2 linked regions of the Oreochromis niloticus genome follow. The protein of the gene in region 1 interacts with the protein of each later gene in a pairwise test. Links are inferred from orthologs where the notes say so. Each region holds a gene or a part of one and is shown on either strand. Other genes may lie near its edges. The genes, in order: rnf40 and ncbp1.

The links.
Region 2: the proteins of rnf40 (region 1) and ncbp1 interact in binary tests that used the Homo sapiens proteins (3 or more experiments, as listed by UniProt). The two-hybrid records come from large-scale screens. The link is inferred for Oreochromis niloticus from reciprocal best matches to the Homo sapiens genes RNF40 and NCBP1.

Annotation. Positions count from the first base shown.
Region 1 is NC_031973.2:19,403,301-19,419,780, forward strand, and holds the start of rnf40 (E3 ubiquitin-protein ligase BRE1B), read left to right. Parts: upstream 1-10,502; 5' UTR 10,503-10,652; intron 10,653-11,057; 5' UTR 11,058-11,067; coding exon 11,068-11,205; intron 11,206-11,327; coding exon 11,328-11,495; intron 11,496-12,500; coding exon 12,501-12,810; intron 12,811-13,400; coding exon 13,401-13,601; intron 13,602-14,165; coding exon 14,166-14,287; intron 14,288-14,460; coding exon 14,461-14,607; intron 14,608-15,667; coding exon 15,668-15,742; intron 15,743-15,867; coding exon 15,868-15,987; intron 15,988-16,109; coding exon 16,110-16,289; intron 16,290-16,480. Other genes in the region: cfap119 (cilia- and flagella-associated protein 119), read left to right, coding at 889-906, 1,094-1,128, 1,230-1,295, 1,388-1,551, 1,876-1,946, 2,058-2,174, 3,142-3,220, 4,261-4,335 and 1 more; phkg2 (phosphorylase b kinase gamma catalytic chain, liver/testis isoform), read right to left, coding at 5,941-6,186, 6,280-6,405, 6,557-6,710, 6,797-6,887, 6,970-7,133, 8,025-8,090, 8,200-8,254, 8,354-8,529 and 1 more.
Region 2 is NC_031966.2:10,215,779-10,231,886, reverse strand, and holds the start of ncbp1 (nuclear cap-binding protein subunit 1), read left to right. Parts: upstream 1-7,561; 5' UTR 7,562-7,711; coding exon 7,712-7,745; intron 7,746-9,619; coding exon 9,620-9,708; intron 9,709-9,914; coding exon 9,915-10,015; intron 10,016-10,111; coding exon 10,112-10,268; intron 10,269-10,366; coding exon 10,367-10,474; intron 10,475-10,744; coding exon 10,745-10,866; intron 10,867-10,949; coding exon 10,950-11,019; intron 11,020-11,177; coding exon 11,178-11,393; intron 11,394-11,468; coding exon 11,469-11,566; intron 11,567-11,685; coding exon 11,686-11,749; intron 11,750-11,843; coding exon 11,844-11,954; intron 11,955-12,767; coding exon 12,768-12,832; intron 12,833-12,932; coding exon 12,933-12,995; intron 12,996-13,083; coding exon 13,084-13,158; intron 13,159-13,610; coding exon 13,611-13,714; intron 13,715-13,823; coding exon 13,824-13,946; intron 13,947-14,060; coding exon 14,061-14,163; intron 14,164-14,389; coding exon 14,390-14,483; intron 14,484-14,595; coding exon 14,596-14,699; intron 14,700-14,789; and 5 more. Other genes in the region: tstd2 (thiosulfate sulfurtransferase/rhodanese-like domain-containing protein 2), read right to left, coding at 2,218-2,438, 2,558-2,696, 2,893-3,051, 3,438-3,553, 3,786-3,891, 5,389-5,508, 5,635-5,743, 5,880-6,175 and 1 more. UniProt on the Homo sapiens protein: Component of the cap-binding complex (CBC), which binds cotranscriptionally to the 5'-cap of pre-mRNAs and is involved in various processes such as pre-mRNA splicing, translation regulation, nonsense-mediated mRNA decay, RNA-mediated gene silencing (RNAi) by microRNAs (miRNAs) and mRNA export.

The sequences.
Region 1 (16,480 bases):
TTGATTTAATAATAATAATAATAATGGTAATTTAGTAAATTTCAATTAATCTTCGGGTTATGTTGAGAAACTAAAGTGTGCACTTTTAGACTTATTCGTTTTAATAATTTTTATATTTTTCATTAATATTTTATTAGTTTTATAAGCATTCTTATAGCTTCTACAAAAGTATTTTATGTATTTATTTACTTATTTATTTATCACACAACATGCTGGCTCATTACATCTTTCGCCTGCAATTTTTTTTTCTCTATTTATTTTTAGATTTAACTTTAGACTCTTCATCCTGCAGTATGTTGGCACTACGTTTGGCATAACGATCCGAAAACATACAGCCAAAGGTCATTAGCCTCCTATTTTCAGCCACAAGAACAAGAAATCCAGCAGCAGATGGATGACTCCCACAGAGCGCTGATCTCATCATCATGGGTTTAGCCGAGGACTTGCAAATGTACCAAGTGATGAGGTTTTTAATTAATTCATTATTATTGTTTTGTTTATCTTTTTGTTTTGTTTCGTTTTTTTGTGGGGGGGCACTTCACTTTACATTAAATTGTAAGTTAATAACAAATCAATACGGCTCATGCCGTTATCTTTAAGAGCATTGCTGCATAAATAAGATCTATTAAATTATATAACATGATATATAATAATGTGATAAATAATACATATAACAAATGTTTTTTTAGTTGTTTTATTTTGTAGGACCCTGAACCGGAAAAAGGAAAAAGTGGCCTGTTGCTAGGATACAGGTGGCTAACAAAGCGGAGCATACTCCAGGCAGATTTATTTTCTGATATATTTCTTTAAACTGTAAAACACGTTTTGAAGTCTGTCCATTTTAACTATAGCTAGTTATTTCACCTAAAGAAATAATAACTTTTAAAAATGGATGGGACAATTAAGGTATGCTCTTCAAGTTTTATTCGCTACTTCTGTGTTCGGTTCTCTTTACTTCCTACTCTTTTAACCTGTGTTAATTTTAAAAAACCTTTTTGGCATAAATATTCATGTTATAGCTTACATTTGACAGAGCTTTTATTATTATTTGTAATGGGTTACAGTGTATAAAAAACATCGTTTTCCTTTGTAGCTACCACATGACCTGAAAGCTAAAGTGATGCTATGGTGAGTCACACACACGGTGCAGATCATTTTCGTTAGCTTCCATTTTATTTACACTTTGCCTGCCTGATTGTAATATTTATCCATGAATCTATTTCCCTCAGGACAGATGTAAGCTACCATGATATGGAAGAGATCAACAAAATGCAATCCATTCCCGATCTGGAGAGGTTTGGATTTGTCACTCATTTATAAACAATAATCACTCAATTATAGGGCACAGACGTTATTTAGGGGGGCTTCTTGTTCTCCTCCGTGACAGTGCTCTGTGCAGTGTGCTTGGAGTTGACCTCCCTGAACCCAGAAAGGGAGTTCTTCTGGAGCTGTACGTTCAGACTGTGCTTTTCTGCAGAGAGCACAGCTTCAACAAAGAACAAACGTCTACTCTCTTGTCCATTATCAAGTCCATTCATGAAGCCAACGTAGGTAAGCAAAGTAGCTTTATCTTAACTATGTGTAGTCAGCAAGGCAGGGTCTATCTGGCTTTGAAAATGATGTGTTTAAAATCAAAACAGTACAAATTATCTCTTCTCCTCACAACGTTTGTTTAACGCAGACTCATCTCTTCTGTTAAGTCTGTAAAAAATACAGTATTTAGGCAATTGAAGGAAATACTGTACAATCTTATTGAGTTAGTGATTAACTCAGTAAGATTGTTGACCTAGTGTCACGTGACTTGCATCACCACCATTAAATGCTAAAGTGTCCTTTAACTTTACATGACATGTGTCTGAACCTCCTTTCTTGCAGAAACTCCACTCAATAACTCGGAGCAGTGTTTCAAGTACTGCAGGGAGCTTCTGTTATGCCACTCAGTCAGGGTGTGTGCAAAATTTGGCAGTCACGGTTTCATTTTCAAACTCATACAGATCCACGACTGTAATGCTGATTCATGGTGTGTTTGCGTGTGCGTGTGTGTCTCCCCTCTACAGCGGCCTCCGTTCAGCATCAGCCTCTTCAATGCTGATGAGGTTAACCGTGTCTTAACATACATCCTCAACAACTACATGAAACACTACAAGCTATATAAATATATCTTTACCACACAGGTAATGTCATGAATTAACTGACTTGAGTTTTCAGTATTTGTCATTAGGTAAAGTAAAATGTATTTCTAAAGCACATAGATTGTCTTTAGTGCTACATGCTCGTTTGTGAAATAATAAATTATATCACAAATATACAAACAAACAAATATAGAATAGAATAGCCCTTTATTGTCATTGTCATACAAGGAAATTATGGGTGCTCCACGCCAGCTATGCAGGAGTAAAAAAACAAAAATAGTAAAGACATCATGAATATATAGGAACAGAAGAGATATATACAAACTAGAGGAATATGTATATATGTATGTACAAAGCAATAGAAAGGCACACAGTGGAGAGCAAAGTGCTTAGAGGTAGTGCAAAGAAAAGACTTGGTCTGAATAGATTCTGTGTATGAGTGGCCAGAGGTGGGTGGGCAGGGTGGGGTGTGGGGGGATAGTGTTAACAGTCTGAATGGCCCAGGGCAAGAAGCTGTTAGTGAGTCTGGAGGTGTAGGACCTGATTGCCCTGAGGTGCTGACCAGGGGTCACCTGTGATGGCCCTGGTTTTTCCTGAGACAGGAGGATCTGGCGATGGCCTCTAGGGGTGGCAGTGGGCAGCCGTGTTAGTTACCCTCTGTGCACCTTCCCTGTTCTCAGTAGTGCCCCCTGTGTACCAAATACATGTTAAAAGAAGAAGAAGGAGAAGAAGCAATCGTAAACATGACACCATAAACCGTTAAATATAATGTATAATATAATAAATAATTTATAATAAATAAATAATATTACGTTATAATTAAGAAATTACAATTAAGAAATTACATATATCTATATCTATCTATCTATCTATATATATATATATATATATATGTATATGTATATATATATGTGTTGTTGTTTTTTTAAACCTTTCATGAAAACATCAGAAGAGATTAATGTGAGTCTGTGATTTTAGGTAAGGTTTCTTTCCACCATTTTTCAAACAGGTAAATCTTGATCTGTCTTTGAGCTACTCTGGGATGCCGGATATTGGATCCCCTACCGTGGAGGATTCTTCTGCGCCAGGTAAAAAACAAAGTTTTTAGTAACATTAAAGTTACATATAGAGAGGGAGAGCAATTATATTTTATTCTCTCCTTTATTCTCCCCTGTTCCCTTTTTTCTTTTACCCTCCTGCCTGTAGGCTTACAATGCCATATCACACATATACTGTATTAACAGAAATAACAGGAATAGAAATGAATAAACAAAAACAGATAAAAGTAACACACGAACAAGAGCCTACAGAGAATTTACAGAGTTCATCTTGGAAAAGCAAACGTGTTTGGCATAAAAAAAAAGCTGTTAGACAAGGAAGACAAAAAAAAAGAAAGAAAATGTAATCTGAAATCATACAGTGTTAAGATAAGAAAGAAAGTAAATTCAGATGTTTTCAGTCGCATTGCCACAGATGCATAAAATGAAGCAACAAGCTACGCAGTCTGCCTTTACAAACATTTGTGAAAGAATGGGCCGCTCTAAAGAGCTCACTGAATTTGAGCATGGCGCTGTAATAGGATGTCGCCATTGCAACAGTTCATTTTGTAAAATTTCTTCCCTCATACATATTCTACTATCACCTGTAAGTGAGATTATTGCAAAGTAGAAGCTTTTAGGAAACGCAGAAACTTAGCCAATGCTCTGCTGGCTCACTTAACTGCAGAGCTCCGACCCTTCTCTGGAATTATCACCAGTACAGAAACAGTGTGCCGGAAGCTTCATGGCATGGATTTCTTTGTATAGCTGGCTCAGAAATTCGGTTCATGTAGTGTATAAAAATCGTCTTCTACCTCTTTGCAGTGACTACATGTGTGATCCAATCTTGCACAGTTGTGGTTGGAGCGAGATTGGATCAGCTGTGCTGCCTGACCAAGCATTGCCAAACTCTTGCAAAACATTCTTAATCTCATTTTCACTTCCTGTGGAAATTAATATTAAGAGAACAAAAAAATCTGAAAGCATCCCTCCAATCCAGCACCTGCCTTGTTATGTGTTGCATTAAAAATGGGATATTAAAAAAAAAAAAAAGTACTGAGCTATATTTATTATTACTTTTATCCGACCAGGTGTTGAGAATGAGACAGAGGCGGAAGATGGGACGTCTCCTGAAACACAGCAAGCCTCCATCGCGGCCCCAGCAGGTAAAAATCATGGCAGCGCTGCAGTTATGCTGCAGGCGTAACTTTTACAGTCCAACACAGCCCAAGCAATGTCATGCATGGAACGGCTTCATTTCCTCACTTTCAGGAGCCACATCTGAGCTGAAGGCGCTGATAGAACAACAAGTCAGAGAGCAGATGACGCTTGTGTCTGGGCAACTAGATCAGCGGATTAAAGTAAAAGCATCTCAGCAAAACAGTGCTTTAGATTACTCACAGAACAGCCACAAAGCCAAAAAATAACACACTTTTTTTTTTGCCCCATCTAGATATGCGGTAGATTTTAAAAAAAGCACTCCTGCAAAGCAGCACGATTAAAACATTTGTTTTATTGTCAATAAAACCATTTTTCTCCATGTACAGCACAACATACTTTATACCTGCATTTATATAATTACAGATTTTCTTTCCAAACAGGCACTTCCAGGAAATCAAAAAAACGTAGTTCTCTCTAGATGAAAGAATGAACTGAGTTAGGAATGGTGCTTGTTAGTTTTACAGTCGCAAACGATGTTCACAGTTAGTCTTGAGTGGGTTTCCTGTTGAGGAATGCTTGCATGCACGAAACATGACAGAAACACGCCAAACATTTAACTTGAATATTTCACACATGTGCCCCAGTGCTGACTCGTAATACTGGCATATATGTCAATCTGAGCTTTAACGCAGCACTTCTATGTACCTGTATGTGTCTAATAAAGGAGACTTATTATGCTTTTTCCTTATTTTCTGCTGTCTTTGTAGTATTGCAATGTTAGGTGTTGTATTAAAGTTTCAGGTAATAATGAAGAAAGTTGGCTTAATGGTAGTGTGGCCTGAAGGTCTGCACTAATGCGCAGTAAAAGACATACAAGGGTTTTTATAAACCGTGAATCATGCAAAGCTACTCAAGTGGAGTCAATATGAGCATACTAGGTCCCCTAGAAATAACTAATCTGAGTGCTTTGATTTCCACTTAACCTACACAGTGCTTAGAAATGCATTCTCTACATCAGAGGGGTCAAACACACACACCGTGGGCCACACATGCAGTAAAGATGGGCAGTATCTTGTAAGTCGTTAAGAGCGACACTTAATTTCACCATCATGTTTAGTTAACGTAGGATTTATTAAATACATAATTGTACTCGCTGCTAAAAGAAAAGGAAAATTTTTAAGATTTTTTTTTTATGGATTTTTATTATGAAACACTTTTACTTGCGATCAAATTGGGCTGCATGTGGCCCATGAATTAAAATGAGTTTGACGCCACTGGCCTACTCAGTTATAACGGACGATTAACACATAAAATCCTAAATATATATTATGATGAGTTTTACCAAAGAGATTGCCCTAGAGGACACCTTGCACAAATTGCACTGCAAACCGGATGACCTGACAGGGAGTTTCAGACAACAACAGATAAGGAATATTAAGTGGTGCATGCTTATCTTGAACTTTCAGAGCCATGATGCGCATTAAGGCACACAAAGATCCCCCGTCCCTGCATTCCTTATCTTGAAACAGTAACTCGATGGAGCAAACACTGCAATGACAGCACATGCAAACGGATACATAAAAGCGATTTTGAGCGACGAGGTTGACCTTTTATGTTTCAAACTCCTCCAGCTCTAGCAGCATGATCTTAGCAGTGTTCTGAAAGAGGGCTGCTCGGTTCTGCTGCTCCCCTTTCTTGACCCAGTGCCCGTAGATCCGGAAAGCGCAGCCGTCGATGAGCTTGCGCACGCCGCGGATGGAGTAAGGATCCCTCGCCAGCACCTCCCGCGTTAGCGGCCGCACCCTGCGGTAGCGGCTGTACATCCTGATGCAGGCGAGCACGCTCACTATCAGAACCTGGATGCATGGAAGCATGTGGAAGTTATTTCCTTCTTCACAGACAGTTTAAGTCAGCGGCAATAAAAATGCTGGGCTAACACAGCGGCTCACCCTAAACGTCTTTCTGGGGCTGAAGAGCCTCACATCCTCCCGCTGGTACTGCCTGAAGAAGCAATGCGCCAAGGCTTGCTCAGCAGTGAGACGGTTAGCTGGGTCCACCACCAGCAGCCTGGATATCTGAGTATCACAAGCACAAAGGTTACACAAGTACACATGAATGATTTAAGAGATGCAAATACTGCAATATGATTTATTCTTTGCACTGGAAATGTCAATATTAGGGTTGCTGCAGAAGACAGTACAGAATAAGCTGACTGTATGAGCTTACCAGATCCTTCACAGTGTCAGACCGGTCGTCCCACTCTGGGGAACTGAACTGATAGCGACCCTCCATTATCATCCTCAGCATCAGCATCTGCTTACGGTGCCAGAACGGAGGCGAGCCGGCTAGTAAGGTGAAGAGGATGACTCCACAGGCCCAGCTTAGAAACACACACCATGCAAATGTTAGAAATGGCAGTAAGGAGTAGTACGTTTGTAAATCTCCGCCGAACAAAGACAGACTCACAGATCGACCTCCTTGCCGTAGCCTGGGTGCATTTCATCCATGGAACACTTTAGTATTTCGGGCGCCAAATAACCAGGTGTCCCACAGAGCTCTGATTATAACAGAAAAGATCGTTTTAAACTAATAATGGATGAACACTTGTCACAGGATCTGCTCATGATGTACAGCCATACCTCGAAGCTTCTCCCCAGGTTGTAGCTGCACGGAAAAACCAAAGTCAGAGAGTTTGATATGGCCATAATCGTCCAGGAGAATGTTCTCCGGTTTCAGATCCCGGTGTACGATGTTGAGGGAATGAAGGTATTGCACGGCCTCCAGCAGAGCTCGCATCATGCTCCTATAGAGAACCGAAATACACACATTAGATCCTTGTTAAATAGATTTCGTCCAAGCATGTCTAAGGTTCACAGTAAACACTGTGTAATATGTTTGTGTAATTTTAATCATCTTTGGCCTGATTATTCTGATTATTCATGGGATACACAACATTGCTGATTGGCTATAAAATGAAAATCTTAGAGAAGCAGAGCTTCTCAGAAATAAAGATGGGTAGAGAGTCAACAATCTGCAAAAACCTGCATCTAAAAATTGTGAAGCAATTTCAGAATAATGTTCCTCAATGAGTTGCAAAGACGACTATACATAATATGAACTCCCATAACCTCAACTCAGAGAATCTGGAGAAATCTCTGTACGCAAGTGACAAAGCTAAAAAGCAGCACTGTGACTGTGATCTTGCACATCTGGAAAGGCAACATCTGTGATGAAATGTATATGCAAGTTTTAGAGCAACATGTGCTCCCATCCAGACATTTTTTCTGGGAAGGCCTTGCATTTTTCAGCAGGACAACGCTAATAACAAAAACTACAAAACTACAAAGAGCAGTTTTATATAAAAACAACCCCCAAAAACATGAATGTTTTGTCGATAAAGTGTTTTTCTTTTTAAAAGCTGCAGCTTTCAGGCTTCCGCTTTCTTGATGTGAGATTAAGTTGGGCGGCGTGACACGAGATTAAAAGTGGGTGGCGACACCAAACGTGTGATTATATTTAGATATTCAGCAGCTCTTTAATGCAGAGCTGCTCGCTGGATAACTTTTATATAAAATCTTGTGGGGTGGCATATTTTGGAATATGGTCTGCAGAAACAGAACTTTATCATGTGCCCAATGCAAAATGCTGCTAGTATTAATTAATACAGATATAGTGCAGTCATGCTGTGGCTCACCTGGTTTCCTTCTCACTTAGGGTAACTTTTTCTGTGAGGTAGTCAAACAGCTCTCCACGTCTCATGCTGACAACAAAAGACAGCAAATTGACAAATGTTGTGGAAAGAAATCTGAATTTCAGGTTGGGAGTGTAAAAAAAATTTAGTTTAATAGTTTTTTTGTCCTCATACTCACAGGTCAAACACCAAAAATATGAATGTAGCAGACTCATAGGAATCAATGAGGGTGACTAAAGGGAATGAAACACAAGAAAGCTTTAACACTAACCAAACTTTATGGAGATAAATTTAATGATTCTTTAACAAAAGGAGAGAGAACAGCAACGTACTGATGGAGGGGTGTTCCTTCACCATGTTGAGCACTTGGATCTCTTTCAGCGTGGAGATTTTCACCTCCTCCAACTGCTGGATTGTCATCTTCTCAGCTGTGATCTCGATAATCTTCACCGCCAGCTCCTGGCCCGTGTGTCTGTGCACACACCTGCGCACCACACTGCTCACACCCCTGACAATGAGCATACAATAAAGTGTATTTTCAACATGATCAAAAAGGACACACGGTGCACAGCATTTGCCCCGTTCCACTTACATGTTTCAGATCAATATGCTAATTTTAATATTAGACAAAGATAACCTGAACACACTTTTTTATATGATGATTTCATTTATTAAGGGAGAAAGGCTATCCAAACTTACATGGCCCTGTGTGAAAAAGGTACTGCCCCCCTAAATCTAATAACTGGCTGTGCCACCCTTGACAGCAAAAACTGCACTCAAGCATTTGCAATACCTGGCAACGAGTCTTTCACATAACTGTGGAGGAATTTTGTCCCACTCTTCTTAGAATTCAGACTTGCTGGTGTGTTTTGTATCATTGTTCTGCTGCATAACCTGTGTGGTCTTGAGTGTCAGTGGATTAACAGATGGCCGTACATTCTCCTTCTGGATCTTCTGGTAGAGTGCAGAATTCATTGTTTCATCAATTATAGCAAGTTATTGAGGTTCTGAAGCAGTAAAGCAGCTCCTGAGGCAAGTTAGGCCTGCAGTTCTTTAAATATAGCTCTGGGTTCTTTTGTAACCTCCTGGATGTTTTTCAGTGGCATCTTGGAGTCATGTTAAGGCCGGCCACTGGGAAGGTTCACCGCATTTTCAGGTTTTCTCCATTTGTGGACAATAATGGCTCTTACTGTGATTCACTGGAGTACCAAAGGCTTGTCTTTGTAACTCTTCCAAGATTGATAGATGTCAATGACTTTGTTTCTCAGCTCTTTCTCTAGATCATGACATGATGTGTTACTTTTTGAGATCTTTCAGCCTACTTTAACCTGTCAGAAAGGTTCTGTTTAAATTATTTCTTTATTCAGCAGTCTGGCAGTAATCAAGCCTGGGTGTGGTTTGTTCTCTTTAAAAAAATGTGGTTAGTCACGGTCAATTTGTGATTTAACAAGAGGGTTAATTACTTTTTCACGCAGAGCCAGGTAGGTTTGGATAACTTTTTTTCCACCTTTACTAAACAAAAACTGCATTTCGAATTTACCTGGGTTATCTTAGTCTAATATTTAAAATTTATTGATGATATGAAACATGTAGTGTAACAAATGTGCAAAAACAACGACAACAACAAACAAATCATGAAGGGGGGGTGGAGGGGATGCTTTTTCACAACATCACAACACCCAGGCTATTTTGGTTGACTTACCTGCCAATCACCTCTTTAGGATCATACTTCTGATAAAACTCCTTGGCCCCCACCCAGTCTGGTAATTCGTCCCCAACAACGATGTCTTTGGTCATGTTTACAGCTTATGGAGCTGTTAAAAGAACAGTCACGTGTCTTAGTTTGTACCAGTGGTTCTAAATAAACAGGAACTAGTTACCTAACTCCTGATAAGGAAGTATTGTGCCCTTAGCTTTAGTTTAAATCTAGTTAGCAGGTCAAACTTGCATTTTACTTTCTATATATACACACATCTCCTCTACCTATTGTTATTTAGAGGTCCATCAAAACGGTTATGTAACTGTCTTTGCTATGGCTTTGATACAGCAGCAGGTTCACTGACCGAACAGGAAGCTACTCACCATTTATGCAATCAAACGACAAGACAGAGAGGGAAACGGGGAATCAGGAAGCCCTCTCGGGGTCGAGGAATCTATTGTGAAGCCATAACGTGTGCGATTAAGCGGCTACAGTAACGAAATTAGCTACCGTTAGCGTTAACAGCAGTCAGCTATCACCTGAACACTGTTTACATTCTGGTCACAGTCCTGGAAGTTATTATTACAGTGTGCCGCAGCAGCGCCCCCGAGAGGCCGGAGGGGACGTGGCAGCATGGTTTGCATTTTTGAGGTCTCGAATACACTCTCCAGATAAATTCAAGTAGCTGCACTTCAAAGCACCGTATCCCAAGGAAGTAGTCCGTGTTTTGAGTGTGTTTTTTAATTTACAACTTGTTGTTACCAACGGGAATACTTGATCTTTACATTGTGTGAATTGCAAGCAATAGGCGGCGCTAATGCTCTCCCGTTATTGTAATGAATATTTAAAACCAACGAAGAAGAAGCGTTAGCTGCATATTTCCTGTTGCTTCTCTGATGTCCTGACTTACGTTTCAACTACTGGTTGTTAAGGTTTGTAATGATAAAATTTCTCTTGTAAAAAGACACACATATAACTGTTTAAGAACATTTTGTGTATGTAGTGATGGATAATGAATAAAAACCCCGACCACCTCGGAATCTTGACTCAATAACGCCGTCCGTTAGCCTTAGCGTAGCATTAGCATGGTTAGCGGTAGCAAGCTGCAAGCTTGCAAAAGATCTTTAATCTTTGTAGCAATATGGAATTAAGATGGTTGGTAGTTCTGCAGGCATGCCTTTATACAGTAATAACTCGGCATGTAAATGCTAGTGGAGCAGAAAAGTGAACCTTTTAAAATTAGAGGTCTGCATTTTTGATTTAAGGCTAACGCCGTCCCTTTGCTGTCACAAAATGAATGAATTATAATTCTTCATGCCTTGCTTGATGTAATGCAGGGAAGGAAAGATGTCAGGTGCTGGGGGAGGAAAGCGTCCCCCAGGCGGGGACAGCCCCCCTGGCCCACCTGAAAAGAAAAGCAAGAAAGAAGAGAAGACCACCACCACGCTAATTGAGCCAATACGCATAGCTGGAGTCTCCTCTACGGTGAGTTATATGGTCATCACGTTCTCAAGGCACAATCTGTCATCTATTTTTGCCAGACAACATCTACAATCCCTAACACTCATTATTTCATTTCTCTGTTTGTATGCGTTTGTTAATTACAGGAGGAAATGGACATGAAGGTTCTCCAGTTCAAGAATAAGAAGCTATGTGAACGCTTGGAGCAGAGACAGGCGATGGAGGATGAGCTGAGAGAGAAAATTGAGAAGCTGGAGAAGAGACAAGCCACTGATGACACTACCTTGCTGATTGTTAATCGCTACTGGTCACAGGTAATTCTGTGCATTTCATTATATTGTTAGAATCCATTCTTGAATTTTAGTTTCCACTCTAACCTGATTTAAGAACTGGCACATTTTATCAAAACCTCATGTAAACACAGCAGTCAGATGAATCTATTTTTAGCACGCTTGCATTTGGATGAGGCAAACCAATTTGGCTTATATCTGGTAATTACAGATCTTAACATTTTTTTGTGCTACCACTTATAGCAGGCACATGTGCATGTATAAATTAAGAAAGCATTGCCCAGCTCTTCCATCTGATGGATTGTCATCTTTTTATAATTTGTAAGGATTTGAGTGTTATAAAAATAACTCCCAACAGCTATATAGGTGTTATAGATAATTCTGGAACCTTAGGCAGGTTATATAGTAGGTTTCATCCAGATTGATCAGCATGTCTAGGAGGATAGTTGTTATATACATAGGTCCAGGCTCCTCCTCCTATGTATCCTGTACATGTTTTCCACCTGCCTGCCTTAACCTGATTGTACACATAGTGACAGGTATTGGTCGTTTATCAGGATGTTTAGAAGTTATTTAGCACCAGGTTCTCCACAAAGATGAGTCCACAATTGGAGAGGGGCGGCCGTTGTTCGGCTGTCCCCCAGTCCCCCAGTCCAGTCACAAACAGCTCTCCTTCACCGGTGGGCTGTTCAGTCATAATCCTGCAGATGGTAGCTTTGCACCTTTGGTTCCTCAGCCAAGCACTATACACCAAATGTCTGAACCTGCAGTTCCTCTTGTACTGAGCAGGATTACTATTGCAACTACACATCATCAGTAGGGTCTAATCCCAGCTCACGTTCCCTGTTGGTAGGTGAACAATCCAACGCTTGGTGAATTCTGCTTCACAATGATAGGAAGAGCCAACATCGAAGGATCAAAAAGCAGTGTCGCTATACGTATACTTAGCTGTACTAAGGCTTAAACTCATGGTAATAACTTGTAAAGAGAATTAACACCTTCTTCTTTCTATGTCTATCTGACTTGCAGTTGGAAGAGAACGTGCGCATTCTGCGTAAACGTATTGAGCCAGATCCTCCAGTCGTTTCTACCCCTGCCCCACCCTCAGCAACCATCCCTGACCAAACACCAATGGAGGAAGATAGTGTCAACCTGGCTTCGCCTTCTGGCGTGCCTCCCCCTCCTGTGCCAGAGGCCCAGAACGAGGGTGAGCGGCCAGAGCAGCAACAGGAGGAGCGTCAGGAAGAGCGTCAGGAAGAGGAGCAGCAGCAGCCCCCTCCTCCCACTGGGTCAGATGATTTACTGACACCATCAGAGTCACAATCGGATTCAAAAACAGGTTAGCAATTTTTTAAAATGACAAATCGTCTGTCATAGACTATTGTAATCTGTTTGCCTTATTCATTCATTCTCAATTTAACTTAGTGTATCTTTATGACTTTCATTACTCATGAAGTTACATCAGTGTGAGTCACTACTATTTATATTGATAGCTAATTTTATGCAACAATACTGCACTTCATGCCTTGTAATTTAAGGATATTCTTGTTTATTGTGTATTGACCATTTTTCAAGATGCCTAATAAATTATAGTGAGGCAAAGGGGAATGATAGTGGGCTAAAGAACGCAAGTGTTGCAGCTTTTCTTTCATCTGTTAGCATGTACTGCTGGCTACAAACTGCAGAATTTTAGTGTATTATCAAGACTTTAGTCCCAGTCTACACAGTCTGTATTTGATAGATTTGCTTTTTCTTTGCTTTGTATTTAAATAACAAATTTGAAAATGCTTGTTTATACCAGACTGTACCACATTGGACCACACTGTGCTAGCAATATATACTGTTTTCATTTTTTTCAAAAAAAATGTGATATTTAAGAATTCTAGTAAATTGTTATTTGCTGACTTTATCATTTTTACATATGTGCAGATACATCACCGCCACCTCCTCCCCTGAGTGAAAATGCCAAGGGTTTCTTGTCGACTCTGGAGCAGAGCAGCGAGGAGGAACTAACTCTGCACCTCCAGGACCGCATGCAGTTCAGCAAAGAAGCCATCGCCTGCTTGGTCTGCGTCTTTGATAGGCTGCACAGTCACATCAGTGACATGTGCAAGGTGGTCCAAGCTGCAGGTAACTGTGGAGAAATGTTTGTTATTGACACTTAAATATACAGTTATAGTCAGAAGTTTACATACGTTTATCATAGTGATTTCTTTGAACTGTTCTTTTTCCAGTTTTTTATCATTAATGACATTAAAAGTCAAAAATTAGGTGCACAAGTTTGAATTTAATATGGATTTTTTCTAATTCACACAGGGTTAAATTTTTTTATACAGAATCAAATATATACATACACTCATTTAAAGTGGGTGTGTGTGTGTTTGGATATGGATACGTTTGACCCTGTGTGGTTTTAAAAAATCTAAAATAAATTCAAAATCACTCTATCCTGAAAAAAGAACAGTTCAAAGAAATCATTCAAAAGTCCAAATTACCCTGAGATTCATGGCCATGAGTGTAAGTAAACCTCTGACAACGGTATCTTACATCGTTTACATTAAACTAATTACTAGATACTTGAGTTTAATGCATCATAACTGAGTTGTTGGAGTGCTTCCTTTGATACTTGTTAGTTTGGCCAAATTAGAATGACAGTATTGTTTTGTTTTGTTTTGTTTTTTTTTTGTTTGGCAGGATTTGAAGATGACGGCCAGTCTGACATCATCAATCTGAACTGCACTCTGCTGGACGAGAACACTCGACTGCGAGACTTAGCCACTCTCCTGCAGGGGAGACACCATAAGATGTCCATGGAGGTACAATGTCCTTAGTATTGTTTAAGCGACTCACCATGCACGTTGACTGTTTGCAAGTGTAGTTATTTCGAGTGTGTCAGGGTGAATGAATGAGGAAAACTAGTTAGACAATTTCTTATGGTCGCTAATTCTTAGTGATGCAGCAACTATTCACATGTCCCACTCTCCTGCAGTATAATGAGCTTGTGGACAAGGTGACCAGCTCAGAGACCAAGGTGACTGAGATGGAGACAACGGTGGAGGACCTGCAGTGGGACATTGAGAAACTGCGCAATAGGGAACAAAAGCTTAACAAACATCTAGCAGAGGCCATGGAGCAGGTGTGTTGTTTAATGGCCCCTTGCAACTTTTGCATCAGCCCCCTTTTGTTTTTTCTTTCTTTCTTTTTATAGTGTGCATATTTATTTTTAAATCTTTCCACTAGGTGTGGGCTCTGTCGTTTTTCCTCTAATACATGAGTTGACATTGATAAGGCTGTAAGCATCAATGCATGTCAAAACAGCTGCTTCTACTGATGCACAGCCCAAAGGTTGGCTGTGCATCAGTAGAAGCACAGCAGTTTTCTGATCATGAAAATTGGATGTCAGAAGAATTACAAAGTAGAGTTGTATGCTTTTGTTCATAAGTACAGACAAACACAATCCGCTTTAACTAATTAGCCAAATGTATTCTTTTGAGTCTTTGTTGAACACATTAGTTACATATTTTCATGATAGTGCAAATTGGAATTAGTTTATCTTTGCTGGTTTATAGTCCATGCTTCCTTACAGAGCTGCTTCAGGTCTGGCATATTCTTAGAAAGTCTGGTGTGCACTTGAGGTGGATTGGATTAAGATCTAAGTTCTGAGTGGTTGTTTTGAAAGGCAGATTGCCCTTTTTTGTAGTAAGCTTTACTTTGAAGTTTGACAAATGTATCCTGCTGGATCATCTAACACCACAGATTTTGTTTCTCTCTGTAGGCTGATTGCAGGTCTAATTTGTGAGTTTCCATCTCTATGCAAATCATCAGTTTTTAGTTAGAAAGCACAGGAACCTGCTGAAGTCACCTCAGCAGATGTTTCTTCTGAAGTACAAACTAAATATTTCTGCTTTTGTGAGTTAAAGTAGCTCTAACCCCAAACTTCCAATCTTGCTTCATGGATTTGATCTCAAGCCCGGGTCGGCAAGATTTGTTTTTCTTTTTCCTTTTTCCTTTTAAATGTACACTATAAGACTTTGATGCAAACTATGTGGATATGCACACAAGTGTTATTAGTTAAAATAGATTGTTTGTCTATAACTGCATGTGCAGATGTGACACATTTTTTAAATGCACACAATAAGAATCATTTACTTTACGTTGTTACTTCCTGACACATTTTCTGTGTTTTCTGTCTGCAGCTAAAGTCAGGATACAGCAGCACTGGCAGCTCAGGTGGGCTGGCTGGAGGCCAGATTACACTGAATATTCAAAAGGTTAGATGAAAGTACATGTTTAAATCTTTACTTAGTGTTGTGTAACACATTTTTATATGCAACTTGCCCCCAAAAGTCCACATTTCTTTATCAATGTGGTGCTCTTTTTTTCTTTTTTTTAATAGTTTGAGAGTCTCAATGCAGAGCTGGAGCACAACCAGGAGCTGGCAAATAGCCGCATGGCAGAATTGGAGAAACTACAGGTGGAGCTCCAGGAGGCTGTGAGGGAGAGTGAGAAGCTCAAGGTAAATGTATTTGAATCTGCATACCTGTGAGACAGGAGGCTAATTTCATTTTCCTTCTTTATTTGAATGATCTTCATGGTTTAGCCCTGCGTGTCATCTCACTCCACATCTGGGCTTTTCAGATGGACCTGCGTAATATTCCAGAGGAGGTTGTGAAGGAAACGTTGGAGTACAAATGTCTGCAGTCTCAGTTCTCCCTCCTGTACAACGAGTCTCTAGGAGTGAAAACCCAGCTGGATGAGGCACGGGCTCTCCTGCTCACTGCGAAGAACGCCCATCTCCGACAGATTGAGCACATGGAGGTGACTCTCAGAGCTTTTCTTTGTGTGTTTGTGTCAACATTAATATGATTTATGATTCAGAGAAACGATGACACTCCGGAGCAGCTCCTTCAAGCCTAAGCTTGCAGTGCACTGGCAGAAAGTCTGTTTGTTCTGTATTGTTTTTTTTACAGTTTAAACTTGTATGTGTTGTTATTAGTGCTGTCAGCGTT
Region 2 (16,108 bases), on another chromosome or scaffold:
CGTTTGTAGGGTTACTGAAGTTTGGCTAGCTGGTATATAATGATGTGCTACGTGACCGCTAGTGACACAGCTATGTTAGTATAATATAAACAAGCTAACATTTTTTTCCACTCGATAAAAGTTAACGTGAGTGTTCTCGGTGGTCAGGAACAAATGTAATCGCATGGTAGGATGATGTAAAAGGACCAAACTTCAGTCAGGAGAACAACTGAGATAATCCATCCACAATACGAGGTTAGTCATTCATATACTGCTGCATGGGCTGTGCTGTAGTTACATCGTAAGGTGTTTAAAAACTGAGCTTAAATAAATGATTAGCGGTAAATAAAAGCCGAGGGAGGTCAACAGTGATCACTGACTGTTTTAGGAGCTTTTTGAGATTAAATAGAAGAAAATACAAAACATTAACCATGTTAACAACACAAAAGCCATATTAAACGCAGACTACTTTAGGCCCGGAAGTAGGATTCCTCAGGTCATCACTGAACAACCGGATAGCCTATTAGTTTTATTTGCGATGCACTCTGAGGTCATAGCAAATTAGAACAAACATCCTACTGAGGGATTTTGCAGAATTACCTTCTATTTATAGAGTTGCTAATTATTTGGTATTATTGCAGGCAAACCAGCCTATGAAATGGATGAAACACATCGTGACTGGGTTCCAGCGCTACACAAGGGACCTGCTTCAAACATATCACCATGCCAATCAGATTACTTCTTCCATGTGAGGGTGAAGAGGTGACCCTTCTGGATAAGATGGTGAAGGTTCGCTGCGTTTGGTGAACAGTGTGGTAGTAAAACCAGGGAAAAATGAAACTTGCTTCTGTTAAATATTCTTAAGTCTTGTGCTGTTAAAATTGCTGTATTTTTTCAAAAGATACAGTAAGTAATGTTAGTGGTGGGTGATATCATGTAAACACTGTCATGATTTTATGTAAACATTGTCTTTTATAAACTATAAATGACATGGATTCTACATTGTAACTGATGTGATGTTCTATAAAGTGGTTTTAAATTTAAAAAAAAAAAAAAAGGCAAAAATTAGTTTGTTTCTTTATTCAATTTTTGAACAGTGGTACTCAGTCAGTACATATTCAGTACTTCTGGTAGATATTAGTATTACACAGAAGAAAAGCATAGTCTCAGATCATCTCCAGCTTGGGGTTTTGGAGAGAAAATTATACTGTAGTGGATGTTTCTGTATATCCTGCTGATGGTTTTAGTTTATTTTTGGAAAGGAATGATAGCGTAACCACACATGATATGTCTCCTTGCACAGTCTTGAGAGTGTAGATACATCCTGTTCCAGTCTTGAGATACTGGGCCTTTATAGAGAGGAGAGCTGAACAGGTCCACATACATACCCAGTAGAATCGATATCTGCTCCTTTGTCTGAGTAGGAACAGGATGAAGAATGCCTCCTCCATCTGGCTATTGATTTGCATGTTTCTGACCAAATTGTTAGAAAAAAAAGATTCCCCAAGCATCATTTGGGCCCAGCGTCCTTTAGTGAGACATGTCCTCACAGCCCAGCCCTGTGCAGCTTGACTGGCCTACCAGAACAGGCAGGTACCTCACTCTTTCATGTCTGTCATATCATGTTTTCTTAAAACTTTATTTTACTCTTTATTTTAGTTACTGCTTTCATTTACTGCTTCTGTTGCTGTAACTTTGATGCTATGACCTGTTGAACCTATTATGTAACTGCATACTTTGGAGCTGTTTTTGATATGCATCTATTATTACATATGCTAAAGGGACATTCTGCCACGAGGCAAACAGATGCACTACTGCTTGTGGTTTCTTTAAACAACAACTGCATTCTCAGTAAGCTACACTAGCCAGAGTTTGGAAAGCAAATGTGCATGCATCTTAGTAATGCATGCATATCTTGGTTATACATGGAGCACTAAATAATGATGCATCTGTTTGTTAAGCAGCTTGAAAACACAAGAGACAAAATATTTGTCACAGTTTAAAAGTACGAAACAGAAACATTAATACATACAATAAGTTGAAGTTGAGCTTTCATTAGTGACAAAATGTTCACAATATTCACATGATAAAAACAGGTTCAGCAGATATTTTCATTAGTTAAAATGTATCCGACTTAATTTCCCACATACATAAGTATAAAATTTCCTATTTTGAAAATTTGTCACACACATTTTACACTATGTTTATGTTATTTTTAAGCACTGAAGTCTGATCATTTTACACATCCTGAGGGATTCTGGGGCGTCCGTCAGTGCACTCGCACTCCTCTTTATGATGTGAGGTCTCCTCGGACTGAGCCTGACCTTTGGTCATGCACGTGGGGCAGCAAGCGGTGTGGCCGTCCAGTCTGCAGCTCGGACAGGACAGAACCAGCTGGCAGCAGTACTGGGTGGAGCAGAGCTTGTACTGGTCCCATGGATGGCCGCAGTACCTGCAATCTAAACAGAGACTGTTATTTTCTTTTAAAAATGACACGTATATTAAGAGAATATTAGAGCTTATGGATGCTTTCTGATACTTCTAACAATGAGAGAATGGGCTCTGTTTACACACTAACCTGAGATGATGTCACTGTTTGAAGAGATGGCGTAGCGTTCATCAAACACAAAAAGCTTTCCACGATAGAACCCCTCGGGGAAACGCTCCAGGTACTTATGAATTCCACCTTTCAGCTGGTAAACCTCCTTACACACATCCTGGTACCAGATTTAAGAGATAAATATGAACAAGAACTTAACATATTAGATGCAAACCTTTCAAAAATATGCATTTCTCAATACCTAAACTACTAGTAAAAGGCTCCCCCTTGTGGAGAATCAGCAACCTGCAACAAGTGAGCGAGTGAACCCAGCTCCACTAAAAGCTTTCCAGACTGATGACTGAACAGCTTACTTTGAAGCGGAGGTAGGCGGAGCCACGCTCACAGCGGATCCCTCCTGTGCAGTACATCAGAACCTTCTTGTCTCTGAACAGCTCAAGGTTCTGGTCCACGTAGTCTGGGAAGTAGCTGAACTTACGGATATTAGGCGCCAGGCACTGAGTGAACTGCCCCTGAAGGCAAAAAAAAAAAAAAAAAGCAATTATTAGCAATTATTAACTGTAACAGCCTTTGCACATTACTCTATAATAGCACAATCTCAATACCACTGCTTCTGGCTAAAATACTGAGGCTTATGAAATTGATCCCAGTCATGCTTTTCTGTTTGGATACAGACTCATTATTTCCAGCTACAAATATCAGTGTTCTGCCCATCCTTCATATTTGCTCATGGTAGCTTGTGTAGATGGTGCACAAAAAACTTGAAATTACACCATAAATCTCTGGGCATGTCATGTGATAAAGCCAAGATCATACATTACCCTGAAACCACCAAGCTAATCAGATTACTTTTGAATGAAGTCAACAATCTCCTAAAGAAAATGAATTTTCTACTCACAATTTTACTCTCATAATAGTTGCGGCAGTCCAGGAGGATGGTGTCATTGCATGAATCTCCTTTAGTCAGAAGAGCTTCCACTTCTTTATGAAACTCTTCGGGCTCCAGATGAACTCCTGAGAGGCAAAACAGACACATACCTGACATTATATACAAGCACAGCATAGAGTTTCTCAGCAGCTGGTACAAGAGCACAGCTATGGCTGCAGAGTAGCAATCAAAGCAGACATTTCGCACCTTATTATGATAATAAAGGCAATGATGTTAGTAAATCAGCTACAGGTGTAACTTACATTATTAATAATTTCTATAGGCTTATAGTATCATTACAAATAGTACAAATAGTACCTGCCAGCTGGTAAGATATAACATCAGGGTCCACTCCCATTGGTACAATCTCCTTGTAGACCCCAACCTTCAACTCTGTAAAACACTCTGCGCCACCGTCACTGGTCTGAACAAACCCACAAAAACAGCACCATTAATGTTCAAAGATTAACAAAAATAAATTAATAACTGCTTAAAGCCTCTGTCAGTGCGCCCCAGGGTGGCTGTGGCTACAACGTAGTTTGCCATCACCAGTGTGCGAATGTGTGCGTGAATGGGTGGATGACTGGATGTGTAAAGCGCTTTGGGGTCCTTAAGAACTAGGAAAGCGCTATACAAATACAGGCCATTTAAAGTCTGATTATGGACAAACCACACCCTGATGGAGCCTATAACTATGATCCTATGACCCACATCCACCCATCCACATTAAGGGGACGGCTGTGGAGCGTGTGAGCAGCTTCAAGTTCCTGGGAGTCCACATCTCCGAGGATCTCATCTGGACGACCAACTGCTCCAAGCTGGTCAAGAAGGCTCACCAGCGCCTCTTCTTCTTGAGGACTCTGAGGAAGAACCACCTGTCCTCAGACATCCTGGTGAACTTCTATCGCTGCACCATCGAGAGCATCCTGACCAACTGTATAACAGTCTGGTACGGGAACTGCTCTGCATCGGACCGGAAGGCGTTGCAGAGGGTCGTGAAAACTGCCCAGCGCATCGCCGGAGCACCACTTCCTGCCATAAAGGACATCTACAGGAAGCGGTGTCTGAAAAGGGCTGGGAAAATCATCAGAGACCCCAGTCACCCATCACATGGACTCTTCACCCTCCTGCCCTCTGGGAGGCGCTACAGGAGCCTCCGGACTAAGACCACCAGGTACCGGAACAGCTTCTTCCCCACAGCTGTCAGACTCCTGAACTCTGCCTCCTGACATCTGACCCACGTTAAACTCATGGACTGAACATACACACACCCACAACCACCTACACACACACACACAATGGACAACTGTACCCTCAAACACACAATAATAACATGGACTGAACCACCACTCACAACCACTAGCACTTTATATAGCCTCTGTAGAAATTATCCACATATCTCACTTATCTTAACTGCACTCCTGTATAGTTCTGTGTAAATAATCATTCTGTACATACGATAATTTTTAATCCTACAACTGTTCATAACTTGCATAGTTCACATTTCTGTATAACTGTATATCTCATATTTCTGTATAGTTTTTATTTCATATTCTGTATAGTTTTTCATATTTATATCCTGTTCATAGCCTGTACATAGCTTGTACTCACTACAGCCTGTACATACTTATAGTTATAGAATATTCATAACATACTTCATACCGTGTACATTATAACATACCATAATAGACCCATTTCTGTAATATACTTACACATCTCTATTATTGCTAATATATATTGTAATATATCTATATCACGGCTAAAGCACTTCTGGATGGATGCAAACTGCATTTCGTTGCCCTGTACCTGTGACATGTGCAATGACAATAAAGTTGAATTCTATTCTATTCTATTCTATGAAGCAATATTAAGAGGGGGAGGTGACACTGGTATATAAAATTTCCCTTTATCTGAATCTGACCTTAAAATCCTCCTTATCCATCTCAAACAGTGGATGTGAACGCATTGCTTCCATGTAAATGTCAGTGGCCAAGTTGGTGCCACCAACTGTTCCGTTGATGCCTTCAGTCGCCACCCTCACCTGAAGAAAAAGATCAACATACATTTTAATGGCACAGTTTCACTGAAATTAAGAGAAAAGCCTTTTTTCTTTGCTCTTTCATAGAAGTGTTCCTCAGCCCGAGGCAAGATAGGAGAATTCATTCACCTTGCCTGTTAAGTGGAGTTTCTCACACAGAGCTTTCTGCCAAGCACAGATGACATGTGGCTCCTCGACGCGACAGTAGTGATAGTAAAGCAGAACCCTGCCTGGACCGCTGATAGAGAACGAGAGAACAACGAACAAAAATAAAACATCAAATTCAAAAATTAAAATGGGACACATTAATAATCTACATATATAGATTAGAAATATAGAATATAGTGAAATAACTGAATTCAGATTGTCTTTACTTTTTAAGTTGCTCCTCAGAGATGTGGCTGATATCGGGAATCCACACAGAGACGTCCACCGTTTCTCCACTGTGCTCATTCAACTGCACCTGCGCTGCTTCGGGCTCTTCTTCCAGTTGGCTCAACAAACGCTCATACTCGTCCTGTGTGAGCTGCTGTATTTCAGCATTGTGCACTCTGGCCACGTGTTTGTGAATGGCGGCGTGCTCGATGAACGTCTGGCCGCAGCAGCACCACAAAGGGCTTCCTTCCTCGTGACTACCGTCCTTCTTGGATGCCACAAAGGCAGCAAATGACTGAGGGGATAACATAAAAAACAAATAAAGAGATAAATCTTTAACATGGTCAAACAGATGTTTAAGATTTTATAGAAGACTTATATATAAGACAGTGGCTGTGTGATCGTATTCCACAGTTTGGTGCATATGTTGCCCAATATGTGATAATATTGAAATTTGTCCAGAGTAGTTTAGAAACTGTATCAGTTTCTAAAATAAACGACTCGAAAGTTGGTAAATAATGACCCTTCCTTCTTAACAATATATTACTATTGTGTTATTATTATATTATCCAACTTAGGTTTGTTGGGAGAGATGAAGCCTATCCCAGCTGACACTGGAAGGTAGGTGGGGCACACCCCACCTGTCAGTCCACTACAGACTGTAAAACAGGACATGGGAGGATATCAAAGTACCAGAAGGAAACCTATGCAGGGGGGGAATGCAAACTCTACACAAAAAGACCAGCAGGTTTAAACCCCAGAACCTTCTGTAAAGACTGTGACCACTGCACAACTGTTTGTAATAAAAATTTAAGAATAAGAGTTGACATATTGACATCTGAATTTTTAAATCTGTCCCTAACATTTTATATTAGCATCAGCCTTCCTTAGCCTAAGTTATTAAGTTATACAACAACAACAACAACAATATTTTTTAAGAAGAAGAACTACTTTTTTTCTGCTACACTCCCAGCACACAGCTGAGAAACCACTGATTACAAATACAAAATTACAGAATGTAAAACTGATCATAACGTTTTCTAATATTGTTGTTCATAAATTTGTAAACTGTCACCAATTGTCTTTTGCAATTTGAAGTTGCAGTGAGTGTTATGAGTGTGCTCAAATTTGTATGTATTTTCAGATTTTAACTATAAAATACAGATTACAGATCAGATTCATTTTGATGCTAAGAGAGGCCAGTGACAATTTGAGGCTTTTATCTTTCTTAGATTTTGAGATATTAATGTTCAAACATTGCCTCAGATTTCAATGTGCGAAATATCTGGAAATTTCACAATAATCGTTATATATGTCCAACAATTGAACCATAAAACAGGGATTCCAGTCAGTGTGTCCTGATGCTCACCTTTCTCCTGCAGAAGCTGTAGTATCTCCTTTGTGGGGCAGAAAGTTGCTTCTCGTGTTTGAATCCATTACAAACTGAAGAGTCAACCTCCCAGTTTATAAACTCTGAGCAGGGTGTATCTTCCGCCGCCATTGTGTTTTTACAGAGCTTTTAAAATAATTAGCGACTAACCCGTCTCACCAGAATTAAACACAAAGTCTCACATATTATTTTAAGGAAACAAACAAACAAATCCTCCAAACGTGCACCAGAAAATTCAGCACAAGACTCCGGACACCAAAGACGGGTGCACTTTCCGGGTTAGCCGGATGTGCTTCACTTGAATCAGACCGCTTTTATTTTTCTCTGAGCGGCTGGTTGCTGAATGATCCATAGATAAACTCGTTTAACGGACTCATTGTTTTGTTTCTCGTTCAACACATATTTTGGCTTTGTTACATTCACATCGAAGCGGGGTGAAACATGTCCAGGAGGCGGCACAGCGATGAGAACGACGGTGAGTCGGTGCACGTTAACGGCGTGTATTATTCACACCGTTAGGCTAACCAGCGGTGGCTAGCTGGCGTTAGCGAGCTTTTCATGCGTCCCCTGCGCAGTGTTGGGAGGGTTATTTTACTAGTTTGATGTTTGGGTTTTATCAACGACATCCAAAAAGTGCAAAACCATTGATGACCGCAGGTATTCAGTCACATTGTGGCGCACTGAAAGCGAGAAAAGTGCTCAAACTGTCGCATGCAGCCGCAAAATGAACCGGTGCAGTTAGCTGCAGGATTAGCTGGCGTTAACCAGGGTAGCCAGTGACTATGGGGGCGGTAACCAAACACTGCAAAACATGCACGACATTTAGTGTTAACATCTGATTGAAAGTTTAACTATGGATCTGGATTTATGGGCGGGGAAAATCACCTAAAAATATCAAATGTTTTCCCGTAGAGCGCAAGATCCTGAATTTAAATGGGACCTGGTCTGCTTAAAGATTAAATCAGATCTCGTCTCTTAATCTGGGACTACGGTAACTTTGCATATGTACATGGGCAAAGCAAGTTTGTTGATATAGCACTTTTCAAACACTACAGTCATTCGAGATGCTTTACAAGATTAAGATTAAAACAGAAAAGAAAAGAAGGGAAAAATGCAGTAATAGTAGTAATATTCATAGCAACAACAATAATAGCAATGATGGTAGTAAAAAGCAGAGATGTCAAAATTTTGTGTCATGGCTCACATACAGCTGCATACAGTGGCACATACAGTTTGAATTATAAAACCTGTCTTTTTTGTCTGTCTTTTAAAAATTATACATTTCTACAGTGAACGGAAACATATCTGTCATTTAATTGTTCACCTGTTGCTTAATTAATTTGGCATAGGATCAGTGGCCATGGAGTTCTTTATCTGTATAAAAACCTATAAAAGTTATGAAAATACAATCAAGAAGCCAGAATTAATACCCTCCTTGACACTTTTGAAAGCTGCCCATGGGGGCCTTTCTTGGGCCGATTCTGGCCCCTGGCCCTCATGTTTGACACCCCTGGTTAAAAGCATAGCAGCTAAGTGCTTTATTACTCAGTTTTGTTTCAGATTCAAGCACTATTAGGTGACCAGATCTTGCAGACCTTAGAGAATTATTGGGTTTGTATCTATAAAACAACTCAGATATATATTTAGGGCTGAAGCCCTTTAATGACTTGTGTAGTGTGATGTGTAGTTTCTTTTCCAGGAAGAAGCATGTCAGGTTAAGTCATCAGATTTCAAAGGAGTTTGCTAGTATGAAGTACCTATGCCGTGCATTTATAGTGCAAGTATAGAACTGCTGTTAGATGTGGCAGTCTGCATGCGACACCAGGAAAATAACTTATTAATCCCAGAAAGAGAACGCTGTTGATACAGTGCTGTTTGGTTTGATAAGACATAACGAACAACCACTCGAGACTACATCCTTACTTTTAATATATTAACAGTGTTAATAAACCTTTATATAAATAACAGAAAATAAAGAAAAAAATAATGTAAAAATAATTTGGTCCGCTTTAAATGTTCAATTCAATTGCTGGATTGATGTTTTGTTAATGCTCTTATTCTTTAAATGACAGTGTAAGTGTGCTTTTCTGAACTTCACAAAGCTTTATTTTTATCAGTTCATTGTTTAATTCATAGTCCTGTGCTGTCTGAAAACCACTGAACATGAAATGGCAGTGTAACTGATGAACACAGCAGAGAATTTATCATCCTAACTTTGAGAAGACTCATTGAGATTAAAAATCTCTTTTTAAGAGTGCACTAGCTAAGAGAAACTGACAGATATTTCCTACAGGAGCTGGTTGAGCCTCTTCTGGCTCTGATTATTGTGTTACTCTTTCACCTTTCCAGGAGGTCAAGCCCATAAGAGGAGGAGAACATCGGAGCCGATTGAGATCGAAGACCGTCTGGAATCACTGATATGTCGTGTTGGGGAAAAGGTAAGGAGACACTACAGGAAGGACACATTTTTATTTTCAGGATGAGTAGCTTCATTTTCCGCTCTAGAGAGTTGAGCCTCACAAGTTCAGTGCAAAACTTTGCTTCTAAAAGTAAATGCCAGAATGTTCTTTATATGTCTTCTTTGCTTTGTGTTAAATTGCCTTCTAGTGACAAATTGCTCTTGTGCGAAAATATTTCCTTACAGAGCACATCGTCCCTCGAGAGCAACCTGGAGGGCCTGGCCGGCGTCTTAGAGGCAGACCTCCCAAACTACAAAAGCAAAATTCTGCGCATTTTATGTACTGTGTACGTTCACACCTCTTCTCACCCTTTGATTTCTAATAAATTTTGCAAGTGTGTTTTGTGTGTCTGCAGTCGTCATATGTTGTCATTTGTTGACAGTGCCCGCCTCCTGCCCGAGAAGCTGACCGTGTATACGACCTTAGTCGGCCTCCTTAACGCCAGGAACTACAACTTTGGGGGCGAGTTCGTTGAGGCCATGATCAGGCAGTTGAAGGAGACGTTAAAAAACAACTTGTACAGTGAAGCTGTTTACTTGGTATGCTGGCTTTGTATAATAATCTTACAGATTGCTTTTAAACTAATTAACATGGCCACTTTGGCATTTATTTTTCATAATGACATCTCTTTCTTTAGGTGCGTTTTCTGTCTGATTTGGTCAACTGCCACGTGATTGCTGCTCCCTCTATGGTGGCCATGTTTGAAAACTTTGTCAGTGTTACTCAGGAGGAAGATGTGCCACAGGTAGGCAGACGGTTTATGGTGTAAAGCAAGCTGTATGGTACCCAAAAGCAATTTAAATAATTTGTAATGTTCACATTTGTGTCAGACTTTACATTAAAATAGTAATTATTTGATTTATCTGTTTCTTTCTTTCTTTTAATTTTGGTGAAAGTCTTTAAACGTGATCATTATGGAGCACATATTGATTTTTGCACTAGCCCATGGCTGTGTCACAGTCCACACTGGTGGATTGTGAGTAAGTTCTGTAACTGGTCTCTTTTACGTCGTCAGGTTCGGTCGGACTGGTTTGTGTATGTCGTTCTGTCCTGTCTGCCCTGGGTCGGGAAGGAGCTCTATGAGAAGAAGGACGTGGAGATGGACCGGCTCCTCAGCCAGATCGAAGGCTACCTCAAGTACGTTCCCCGGTTTGGTTAGATTTTAATTAAGCAATCATCGTTTGCTGCCGTTGTTTCATTTTTACGTCCACATTTTTCAGGAGGAGAGTAAAGACCCATGTCCCCATGCTGCAGGTGTGGACTGCAGATAAACCCCATCCACAAGAGGAGGTGAGAGTCTTGTAGTCAGTTAAACAGCAGCAAATATGTGCAATGGTCAGAGCAGTAAAAGTGGCTCCTTATGGCCTCATGTTTACTAGACCTTGCTGTTTGGATACAGTAATGTTTGTTTTTGTCTGAGTAAACGGATCGTATCTTCCTTCCTCCAGTACCTGGACTGCCTTTGGGCTCAGATTCAGAAGCTGAAGAAAGACCGCTGGCAGGAGCGTCACATTCTTCGTCCCTACATCGCCTTTGACAGCGTGCTCTGCGAGGCCCTGCAGCACAACCTGCCCCCCTTCACCCCACCGGGCCACATGCCCGACGCCCAGTACCCCATGCCCCGGGTCATCTTCCGCATGTTTGACTACACCGACGCCCCAGAGGTTCATTACAGATAAAACACTGTCTGTCAAACTCTTCTTCTGCAACTTTTTACATACTCATCTCTTTCTCTTCAGGGACCTGTTATGCCTGGCAGCCATTCTGTGGAGAGATTTGTTATAGAGGAAAACCTGCACTGCATTATCAAAACTCACTGGAAAGAGAGGAAAACATGGTGAGTAATGAGGGCTTCTTTTTTTTTTTAAACCTGAATGTGTGAATAAATAGTCACTCCTATTAATTTTTACTAAAAGACTTAAACTAATTTTTTCTTGTTCTATTTCTAACGCTCAGCGCCGCCCAGCTCCTCAGCTACCCAGGGAAAAATAAGATCCCGCTCAACTATCACATCGTCGAGGTATATTTTCTTTCTTGTTTCTGGCATCAAAAAAAAGAAACAGTGCTGAGCTGTTTTAGTCTAATCTGCTGGCTTTTTGCCTTTTTTCTTTTAGGTGATCTTTGGGGAACTTTTCCAGCTGCCCTCGCCGCCTCACATCGATGTCATGTACACCACACTGCTGATCGAGCTCTGCAAACTCCAGCCTGGATCGTTGCCCCAAGTCGTATCCTTGATTATTTTATGTTAAAAATAACCTTTAGTGCGAACCCTTTTCACTGCTCCTTTGAAATATTTGAACATTTGTTTGAATTAAATGCACCAAACTGTTGCAAAAGACAACCGTGGCCATCTCTAATTTAGATTTAGATTAGTTTAGATTAACAGGGCCTAAGTATTTAAGCATTCGGTCTTATGTAATCCATGTTCAAACCCCAGGATTCACTACTGAGACACTGAGAGTTTGGTGAAATAGTTTATCGTGGTCAACCTTGGCTGTGGGGTTAAAAGGTTAGCAACTGAAATGTGTGACTGGATTCTCCTCTCTGTTGTCCCTGTGACATTTTCTTCATAATAATTTAATACAGGCAGCAAAAATAGGCACCAGAAAATGCAGAAACACATATTTTCCATGTCCCGATCAAATTGAATAATTCTTCTAGGGCATCCATTCTCTTCAGCTTATCCTTGTCTGGGTCACAGGGGGGCTGGAGCCTATCCCAGCTACCATACGGCGAGAGGTGAGGTACGCCCCAGGAGAGGTTGCCAGCCTGACTCAGGGCTAACACAAAGAGACGGACAACCATTCACACACACAGTCACTCCTATGGGCAATTTAGAATAATCACTTAACTTGAACTCACTAACTGTAACACAGTAAGGAGCTTAATGAGTAGAAGTGTCTGTGAAAGGATACAAATGGAGATCAAATTTGACTTGTCTTAATGAGCACATATGTACAAAACACACTATAGTTGGAAAATTTTTAAAGGTTTAACAATTAGAAGTTGTTATTGGAGCCTTAACACCTGCCTGTTAGTTGGCTCAAGCCACAGAGATGCTTTACATGAGACTGGACACCATGAACACCACCTGCATAGACCGGTAATGTTTCTGTGTCTTTACTTTAATAATACAAAGAGAAGGTCAAGTGTTTCCTGACTCTCATTTAACACTAATGCAATCACACTGCTAATTTTTGCAGACTAATCAACTGGTTTGCTCATCATTTGAGCAACTTCCAGTTCCGATGGAGCTGGGATGACTGGTGAGTGACTGACTGGGAGCATTTAAAGTGGCCGTATATACGTTTTGTCTTTTTAATATTATAACCTAAATCATTCTCTGTCTTAAAGGGCCGACTGCTTGACCGTGGATCTAGAGAAACCCAAGCCCAAGTTTGTCAAAGAGGTTCTGGAGAAGTGCATGAGGTATTGGGGCATTATTTATGCTTTCTTTGCGTTTTCCAGTCCTGTAGAGGAGATCAGGACACGAGAGTCAGGTGTAGTAATATAGTTAGAGAGGGTTTATCTTCTTTGTATTAAGTGTTTGTGACGGTGTATCAGGGCCACTATAGGGAAGAAGTAAGGCTGGGAAGAGAGTACAATAACAAGAAAACATTTTAAAATCCTTTTGGATTAGAAAATTTGAGGGGAAAAAGAAGTATAAAGTTAGCTCAACCAAATCACTTTTCATTGTGAATTTCTGACTTCATAATCTAAGAAAACATCATGTCTTATAAATAATGGCTTCAGTATTAAAATATTTTATTTTTTAACTTATTTTCTCTCCAATATGATCAGTTTTAATGTCTAACAATTTCACTATGTCTGTGTTTTTGCTAATTTCTCTGCTGTTCTCTGTTTTGCTGCATTAATCGCAGACTTTCATACCACCAGAGGATAGTGGACATCGTGCCTCCAACCTTTTCGGCCCTCATTCCTGCTGACCCCATCTTCACATATAAATATGTAGATGAGAGTGCCTGTAAGACTGCCAGACATTTTGTTTTATTGTTACTTAAAAACAAAAAGGAGCAGACTGATAACTAAATACTGGTAACATCAAACAAAATGACGACTCTGCTGCTTCACAGCCTCATTACCGGGTTACCCCATGTCCATCACCGTCAGTAACGCCATCAAGAACAGAGCATCTAATGAAGAGATCCTCACCGTCCTCAAAGAGGTCCCCAACCCCAACCAGGAAGATGACGATGGTTTGTTTCCTGTTTCATTTTACTTGGTCCTGCATGAAAAGTTCATCTGTGCACTTCTGCCTTTCTCCTACACTTCTCCCTTCTTTGATTACATTTATTTCTCGGTCCCTCCAGACGAGGGCGAGAGCTTCAATCCTCTGAAGATCGACGTGTTCCTGCAGACTCTGCTCAACCTAGCAGCCAAATCCTTCAGCCACTCGTTCAGTGCACTCGGCAAGTAAGGAACATCTGTTGACACCAAAATATTGTATTGTATTCAGCTATGATACAGAGAGACGCATCAAATGTTTTTCTGCTATTATACAAAGTGCCAGAAACTATTATTTGTTAAGAGCTAAAAAAAAAAAAAAAGGAAATGATTTAATTTAGTTGCTTTTTATGCTCTGAATGCACATGAAATGACTGGAGAGCTGCTGGCCTCACCTGCGTCTGATTGCTTTCAGGTTTCACGAGATCCTGAAGACTCTGGCCAACAGCGACGAGGGAAAGCTGCACCTCCTCAAAGTGTTGTATGAAGTGTGGAGGAACCACCCGCAGGTACAACAAACAGTGTGACACCCACGAGCATGTAAATGAAGCCAATTGTTTTTTGTTTTTTTGTTTGTGTTTTTTTTCTGGTTCATGTAAATGTGTCTCTGCTGATTGGCAGATGATCGCCGTGTTGGTGGACAAATTGATTCGGACGCAGGTTGTGGACTGTGCTGCAGTCGCCAACTGGCTCTTCTCTCAGGACATGGCCCACGAGTTCACCAGGTGGGACACGCAGATGTTTAGGTTTCAGCTCTCATGACGCGAGCGCAGCATCTTCTCTGTAAACTGAAAGACTTTCTGTGCCTCATCTAGACTTTTCATCTGGGAGATCCTGCACTCGACCATCCGAAAGATGAACAAACACGTGCAGAAGATCCAGAAGGAGCTGGAGGAGGCCAAAGACAAACTGGAGAAACAGCAGCACAAGAGGGTAACCCTCCTCCCCAATACGCAATCATCATTATTTTAATGTTAAACTGAAAATAATGAAGAAGTTGTGTTAAATGAATTCAATTTAAATTTTTGTTCACTACTAGCGCGACAGCGGGGATGACGAGGACATGGACAAGAACAGTGAAGATGAGGAGGGTCAGCTGGAGGAGCAGATCGAGAGGCTCCAGGAGAAGGTGGAGTCTGCTCAGAGCGAGCAGAAAAACCTCTTCCTCGTCATCTTCCAGGTACGGAAGACTTCAGTTTATCTTCTTAACTACTTAAGCGGTTTCAAGGTTGCAGCGCTGCTGGTGCCAGCTCTCCAACTTATGCAACTCCTGCAGGTGGAAGTAAACAAGGGATTTAATCTTCTGTAGTGCCCTCTAGTGGCCTCGTGTCAAGTGGCTTGTGTCTGTGCTAAATCTGAGCAGATCCCCACATCACTGCAGCTGATTGCTCCTTAGAAGGTAAACATTGTGTGCTAACAGCACTGTAGAAAGGGTTAGATCTATATCATCACAGGTGAAGACATATGAAACTCCTGCTGGGTTTGAATCTGACTCGCCTCCTCCTGCTCAGTTAAATGTCAGTGAAGGAAGAATCAGGGGACAGATTAAATTCTGGGATTAGACAAAAAAAATCTCCGAACAGAATTTATTTTCTACTAGGGTTGTGTTCCAGAAAGTGGAATTAGTAAAAACTGAGGTTGTTAACCATGAGTTAAAATTTTAAGTTCTCAGTTCCCCAACGACGGAAGTTAAACTCTGGTTCACTTTCTGGTTTTGGCCTCTTCTCGTCACCGAAGCAGCTGACTGACACTTTATTTCATTTCCTCATTAGAGAGACAACGTCAAAGCTCATGTCGGACCACAATAACAGACGATGTTTTAAAAGATAAATGCGATCACTTAGCGTGAACACTGTCAGTGCTGACTGATCAGTTTTTCTGGAACTGAATACTCTGAGTTTGTTCAACTTCCTGGATTCGTGTAGGCTAAAATGGTTGCCAGCGTCATGACAGTCACCACTGCCGACTCTTTCTTCCTTCTCAAGCTGAAGAGATTAAAATGCAAAGATAAAAGCTTGCTCCATAAAAGCATTTTTAAATGAGGCTTTTCCCCATCCTTAGCGTTTCATCATGCTGTTGACGGAGCACCTGGTTCGCTGTGAAACAGGCAGCGTTGACATCAGCACGCCCTGGT